Linked DNA regions of Canis lupus familiaris. The main gene of each other region encodes a partner of the protein of the gene in region 2 in a complex. Links are inferred from orthologs where the notes say so. Each region holds a gene or a part of one and is shown on either strand. Other genes may lie near its edges.

What was found. Proteins that work in one complex are often made in the same cells at the same time.
Region 1: EIF3I (region 2) and EIF3F share a complex: the UniProt entries of both Homo sapiens proteins name them as parts of the eukaryotic translation initiation factor 3 (eIF-3) complex. The link is inferred for Canis lupus familiaris from reciprocal best matches to the Homo sapiens genes EIF3I and EIF3F.

The regions. Positions count from the first base shown.
Region 1 is NC_049242.1:32,120,809-32,124,557, reverse strand, and holds the start of EIF3F (eukaryotic translation initiation factor 3 subunit F), read right to left. Parts: upstream 2,541-3,749; 5' UTR 2,517-2,540; coding exon 2,117-2,516; intron 1-2,116. UniProt on the Homo sapiens protein: Component of the eukaryotic translation initiation factor 3 (eIF-3) complex, which is required for several steps in the initiation of protein synthesis.
Region 2 is NC_049223.1:68,381,745-68,385,405, forward strand, and holds the start of EIF3I (eukaryotic translation initiation factor 3 subunit I), read right to left. Parts: upstream 2,819-3,661; 5' UTR 2,804-2,818; coding exon 2,285-2,803; intron 2,195-2,284; coding exon 2,102-2,194; intron 778-2,101; coding exon 690-777; intron 380-689; coding exon 314-379; intron 1-313. Other genes in the region: TMEM234 (transmembrane protein 234), read left to right, coding at 2,837-2,863, 3,526-3,661. UniProt on the Homo sapiens protein: Component of the eukaryotic translation initiation factor 3 (eIF-3) complex, which is required for several steps in the initiation of protein synthesis.

The DNA.
Region 1 (3,749 bases), on a different chromosome or scaffold from region 2:
AGGAATTCAATAAACTTGACCATTTCACACTTCTGAAGCAGTTTTAAGTCTTCTGCATTTCCATGCCACAATATCCTTCAGTTAAAGCATTTATCACATTGTATTCTAATTATTTGCATATATCTTCATCTTGAATTTAAGGTTAGAACAGAAGTTATTTTATCAAACTTTGAATTCAAAATATGTAACAGTTTTATGGTATTTAAACAGTACCAGTCATTTCATTTAACCAAATTAAATGTTTCATGAATTAACATCTGAGAATATTCAGAAGCTCCTCGTGAGCAGTCTGTGTTTAATTCTTCAGTGAAGTACTGTCTCTATAACACTGAGCATTATACCATTATCCCAGTCTGGAAGAGGATCTGAAGAGCTAGACTAGTTGGTCTAACTAGAGTCACTAGAGTATCTGGGGGCTCTGAGCATTCTCCCTGGGTTTCTTTAAATAGCTCCAGTGGATTTGGAAAATTTGGCAGTGCAGCTCAAAGAGTAAATAGATTAGTATTCGTCAAGTGCCAACCTTTGTTGCAAAAATCATTTATTTCAGAAGCTCAAAGCAGGACACATTTACAGAATGCTACTATACTTTGGAGGTTAAGAATGGAGGTGAGGGTGGTAATGTGAGACAAAGAACTGACACTTAACACTTTTCCTGGGAACCCAGGAAATGAGTGAAACTTAAATGAGAGAGAGCAGGGAAGACATTTATGTCAAACAGAATACAAAGGCTTGGTTTGAGAAAAACCTTGATGTTTGGAAGATAATGGATCAACTGAAGGTTCTGTGAAATGCTAAATCTTCAAAGAGAGGGCAAATGTGTGTGTGTTGCAAGGCAGGGATTGGGGGTGTGGGGGTAGCCCTGATGTGGTGGAAGACTGCAGTCAACCGCGGTTTTGTACCTAATGGTCTGCCAGCAGTGAGATGCTTTTGGTGATAGTTTAGTTTCTGCAAAGACTAAGTCTAAGTGCCCCGAAAGAACTAGACTTCAGGTAATTTGTCTCAAGGCACATGTTTTTTTTTTTTTTTTTTTTTTTTTTTTTTTTAAGATTTTATTTATCTATTCATGAAAGACACACACAGAGAGAAAGAGAGAGGCAGAGACACAGGCAGAGAGAGAAGCAGGCTCCATACAGGGAGCCCGATGTGGGACTTGATCCTGGGACTCCAGGATCATGCCCTGGGCCAAAGGCAGGCACCCAGCCACTGAGCCACCCAGGAATCCCAAGGCACATGGTTAATATTTGGTGCAATCTACCGTCAAATCTTGTCCCCTTTGCAATTCAGTTGTCTTCTATGCTAGAAAGACTATTACATACATATTCAAGAATAAGAGAAATGACAAACGAGGCTAGAGTCCATTTACAAAGGGATCTAAAATTGGTGACAAGGATGGAAGGAAAAGGACTTTGATGGGATCAGCAGTTCCCAAGAGAAAAGGGCATTATTATCAGTAATCCCTATTTAGCTTCTCAGCTTTACAAATTAACATATCAGGGAGATTAAAAAACATAAGATCAGGATTAAATGTTTAGAAAAGCAGAATATCATTAAAAACCTAAATAGGTTTCTGCCAAACTTGTTGAAAGGGATGTCTTTTTACAGAAGTCCCTACTTCTTTACCAACTGGTTTAAAACGTCCTCGTAAACACCTGGAAAATAAGGACATTTAGACCGTGGAAGGGGGTGGAAGGCGGCGGGGGGGGTGGGGGGCAGCGTTTAGTCGAACGTTTAGTCAAACGTTTCTGACTTCCTCGTCGGCATCTGAACTCATTTTTGGCAGTCTGGGACTAATCACACTTGACCTCAAATGCTAGCGGGGAGATTAAAAATAAAACATAAAACCAGGGGCAGCCCGGGTGGCCCAGCGGTTTGGCACCGCCTTCAGCCCAGGGCGTGATCCTGGGGACCCGGGATCGATCATTCGGCACACGATACTTATTCAGTAACGCACTACGGCTTACGTATTCTGTGTCGACCAAAGTGACAGCAACCTGGCAGGAAAGTGCGAGTTCCTTCAAGGAGGGAAGTCGCGGCAGAAAGACGGGATGCAGAAATAGGTCAAGAGGTCAATGGGATAAACGGGAGGCGAGAGGGTCAATGCGGTTTGACCACTCACCCAGCAGGGTCCCGATAACTCGGGCAGCGCCCTCGTTGCGTCGCTCGTAGCTGTCCACGATGGAAGCCAAAATGACCGGGTGCAGCCGGACCACGCGGCCCCCGGGGAAGGGGCCTGGGAGAGCAGGACCCGGCAGTGACTGCGCCGGAGTCTGCGCTGGGGCTGGCGTAGACGCCGGGGTCTGGCCCGGAGCCGCAGTCGTGGCCGCCGCAGTCCCCGGGTCTGAGGCAGAGGCTGGAGCCGGCGTTGGAGCTGGGACCGGCGCTGGAGCCGGAGCCGGCGCTGGCGCTGAAGCTGGGGTTGCGGCCGGGGCTGAGACCGAGGTTGGGGCCGCGGCCGGGGCGGAGGCTGGGGCTGGGGTGGCGGCAGGAGCACTCGCCGGGGCTGCCGGTGTGGCCATCTTGTCGAGAGAGAAGGAGCCGGGAGCGGAAGGGAGGGAGTTGAAAAGTAGTAGAACACGATAGGCTGAAGATGCACCACGTGAACGAGATCTTTATGCCGATTGGCTACCGGTAATGCTTCTCACGGCACAGTTTCCGGCTCTGAGTTTGTGCTCTTTGATTTCAGACCGATGAGCACTCAAGTGAGGACGGAGCTGAATAGTTCCGGACAAACTTGAGACGGCGATGAGAGAAGAAACCGCTCCGACTGCTCAGCGGCCGCCAGGTGGACCCAGAGTTTCCAGACTTCAAAGGGGTAGTGGACGATAAAGTGCGTTTTAAAGGCACTTCTTCACCGCGTCAGAAGGTGTGGGTGCGGCGGCTTCTTCAGTCACCAGTGTGAATAGGTGCCAGGCGCTGTGTTAGGCCCTCGGAATGTAGATCAGAGGACAGAACAAGGATCGTTGTCCTCAAAAATGCCCAATATCTAGCGGAGAGAGACAAAAGGGTATATAGTATGTTACAGGGTGATGGATGCTATGAAAAAGGAAAAACGAGCGGGGAATAAGGGAGAATCAGAAGGTAGGGTGGGTAACAATGAGAGCGTGAGATCTGAGTGGATTGAAGGAGGCAAGGGAGGGGGCTGTTTTTTTAAAAAAATATTTAATTTATTTGAGAGTGAGCATGAGTGGGGTGAGGGGCAGAGGGAGAAGCAGACTCCCTGCTGAGCAAGGAGCCCCGTGCGAGGGCTGAGATCGTGACCTGAGTCGAAGGCAGATGCTCAACCGCTGAGCCACCCAGGTGCCCGTGGAGCAGGTGTTTTTTTTTTTTTTTTTTTTTGAAAAGGTCCTAAGTTCAATTTTGGAGGTGTCACCCTCATTAGACATCCCAGCAGAATTGTTGAGTGGTCAGGTGGAGATGCTAGTCTGTGCTTTGGGAGAGGGTTTCAAGGAGTAACCCTCTGTAAAGCTCTTAGCATGTGCCTGATACATAGAAGTTATTATTATTATTAAATATTTTATATATTGATTCATGAGAGACACAGAGAGGCAGAGACATAGGCAGAGGGAGAAGGAGGCTCCCTGCAGGGAGTCCTATGTGGGACTCAGTCCCAGGACCCTGGGATCACCACCTGAGCCGAAGGCAGATGCTCAACCCCTGAGCCACACAGGTGCCCCTACAGCCGTTACTATTATTAAGCGGAAGCTATTACCACCGCTATGCAATGGAAAAGAGCTCTGATTCTAACATTG
Region 2 (3,661 bases):
ATGTGCCAAAGTGATGACCTCTTTCTCATCCGTAAAGCCCCAGCTCGTATGACATTCACCTTGGGAAACCTTGCCGGCTCCCCTTCCCATTCCAGGCAGTCAGTTGCCCCCTCACCCCTCTGGCCTTCCACAGTGCTTTGTGCTTTCTCTAATATGGCTTATATCTTACTGTAGTGCTTCTTTTCTTGTCTGTTTATTGTTCCTTAGAACAGGAGCCATCTCTGGATTATCTGTTTCCCCAAAACCTGTTCACCTCAACAGATACACTGTAGGTCGTCACTGTCTGATGGAAAAGTAAATGATCCAGGCTTACCTGTTTCACAGTCCCAGAGACGACAGCTATTATCAGCTGAGCCGGTAAGGACATGTTTGGTGTCCCCTGAAGAAGGTGTTAAAGAAACATGATCGAGTTCACCTGAGCCCCTGTCCTCTTGGAAAACCAACGGAATCACCTCCCTGTTCAGCCCCAGACAGCCTTTCTTCCTCTCTTACTTCAGAACTTTCTAACCTTCTCATATAGAACTGGAACTTGTCCTGAATATTCCCCCAACCAGTGAAAAGACCAGGGATTAGGCGGGAGATATCATTCCCTAGACCCACAATAGCATCCCAAACTCCCAACTCCACATGGGCAGCCTCTCCGTCGCTGGCAGACCCTGGGATCCCACACTCAGAGCAGACAAGGATACAGTCAGCGTCTACACACCACACAGCTCCACTATGGCCCATGTAAGTGCCCAGCCTCTCACCATTCACGGAGTACCACACATTGACAATCTGGAAGAGTCAATGACAGTGTGACACATAGTAAACATCCCAGGCAGAGCAATGGTCTCCTACTTAGAGGTTCCCCAGGAACCGCAGCAACCTCTAACCAGGCCAGATTCTCCCCTTTCCTGCTCATGTCTTGGGAAACAGTAGGCTGCTGGTAAAAAAAAACAATTCCTGGATTCTCCTCCTTCCTGCAGGTAAGTGGCAGGGGAGTCAGGAGGCTTGTAAAAACATCTCCATTGGGGATCCCCGGGTGGCTCAGTGGTTTAGCGCCTGCCTTCTTCAGCCCAGGGCATGATCCTGGAGACCCGGGATCAAGTCCCCCAATCAGGCTCCCTGCATGGAGCCTGCTTCTCCCTCTGCCTGTGTCTCTGTCTCTCTGTGTCTCTCATGAATAAATAAATAAAATAAAAAATCTTAAAACAAAACAAAACAAAATCTCCATGCCATTATTCCGGTCTTTCCTGAAACTCTCAAATACAGTGCTTCTCTCTTCTGAGCAGATTGTCTTGTCTGTAAAATGGCCACAACAATAATGCCTTCTTCAAAGAGTAGCTGTGAGGCTTCAATAAAAATAATGTCTAAGGAATTTAAAATACAGTAACAATTCTCCAGTAACATACACGAGGTATTTACCGTGCTAAACTCCTTCCCCAAATAACCTCATTTAACCCTGAAGACAACTCTCACAAGGGAAGAATTATTAGTACCCATAATTCATAAAAAAAAAAAAGGGAAACCAAGTTATCAAGGTTAAATGACACGCTCCAAGTCACACTGCTCCTGGATGCAGGGGTCGGGATTCAAATCAGGTCTGCTGGCCTCTGAACTCCCACTTTTGGCCACTAGAGTTAACACATCTTCCATATGGAGGTGCCTCAAAGGGCACTGCTGTGAGGGGCTGTTTGCACTCAGTGAAAGACACCCACAAGGACCTACTGAAATGAGACCCGGGACACCTCCAGGAAGTCCTCTGTTGTCCCTCACCGCCCAAGGAGCAGCTTTCCCCTTCTAGGGGTGGCCTGCTCCCCTCCCCTGGAAGAATAGTCTGACTCTGGTCTCCGTCCCCCTTCCGTGATGGTCTCTTGCTTTTTTTTCCTCCTGGCCACTCCCTCCTCCTACCAACTACTGCGTTCTATCCCGGAATAATGTCTCGCCCACCTACTCCCGGGATGGCCTCCCCCTACTTCTCAGAATGGGGAGCTCTTTGGCTCCCCTCTCACGGCAAAAACGGCCTGTCCACCCCTCACCCCGGCCGAAAGAAGTCTCCCCCTCTCGCCGCCCCCCACCCTCGCAGGGTCCCGCCGGGCCGCCGGCCGCCGACGCTCACAGGGTCCTTGGCCACCGTGAAGAGGAGGTCTCCCTCGCGGTTGTACTTAATCTGCGTAATGGATCGTTCATGGCCCTGCAGCAGGATGGGCTTCTGTGGGGACAGGACAGGAGTGTCAGCGCCCCGGACCGGCCCCTGCCCCAGTCCCACACCCCCAGGCTAACACCTCAACTCAGAACTCACCATCCTGGCGTTGACGCGAGGGAAGCGGCAACGTGAGTAGGACCGGAAGAGGCTTTGGCGCCACTTCCGGATTATGGGTCTCCGCCCCTTCGCCCCCGGAAGTGGGCCAGAGCGGCGTTGCCATGGCGGCGTCCTTTGGTGGGTAGGCGGTCCCACCCCTTTCGGGGCTTCCCAGACCCTACCCGGGGTTCCTCTGCCGCTTCGCCTCCCCTCCCTGAACTTGATCTCCGCCCGATCCCCAATCTCCGGGCCGCCGGATCCATCCACCCGCCCCCCGGGGCCTTTCCTACCCACCAGTCGCACCCGGGGCGTCGGAGAGCGAGGGAGGGATGTGGGGGTGGCTGACGGGGGAAAAGAGGCCCGAGAAGGGCTGGGCCCGGCGGGTGGCCCTTTGTCGGGGATGAGGGTCACTCGCATCTCCCTCCAGGGCAGGTGCTGGCTCTGGTGCTGGTGGCCGCCCTGTGGGGTGGCACACAGCCGCTGCTGAAGCGGGCCTCCGCCAGCCTGCAGCAGGTCCATGAGCGGACGTGGGCCCGGCAGTTGCTGCAGGAGATGAAGACCCTCTTCTTGAATACTGAGGTGTGTCTCTGAATGGCCCCTTTCTCGTGCATAGCTGATCCAAGTCTGGAGCAGAATCTGGCTCTCCACCAGCTTAGTCGCTAGGTCCTCCTTGAGCCTCAGTTTCATCATCTGTAAAATGGAAATGATAGTGGTAAACCATCTTATGAGGGCAGTTGTGAGGATTCAACGGCGAGGCACATAGACCACTTAACATTGGGTCTAGGAAATAATTAGGGTTCAATCTATGGTTGAGATGACTAGTATTTTATTATGGTAATCTGTCCAACAGACCTCACTGAGGCAGGACTTGGGGCTCAAATGGACCCGGGAGGGAGGATAGGGAAGGTTATTCTCTGATAACCTCTATCCAGAGAACTACCTCTGACTCCAGTGCTGCCAGTCTAGGCTAGAGGGAAAGACAAGACATAGACACAACCACGGCTTAGAGCTAAGGCCTATGAGAGAGGTACAGATTAAGTGCTTCATGAGTTCACAGAAGGGAGGCTGGAGTAGGGGCCTCCGGGAATGCTTCTTGGAGGGAGTGACATTGGCATTCAGGGACTTGCACGGGCTGAGGGAGAAGCCTTCAAAGCAAAAGCACAGAGTTCAGTCAGTAACTTGTTAGTAACTTGTTGGAAAGGTCCTTTTCAGAAGGCTAACCACTCTCTGGACCCTTATAGCTATCCCTTCCTCCAAGGAAGAACATATCTAGAAGCTCAAAGAAGGCAGGGCTGCTCAATCAAGTATCAATCACAGTGACTGCAGATTTCTTCTGTTTCCAGTATTTGATGCCCTTTTTCCTCAACCAGTGTGGCT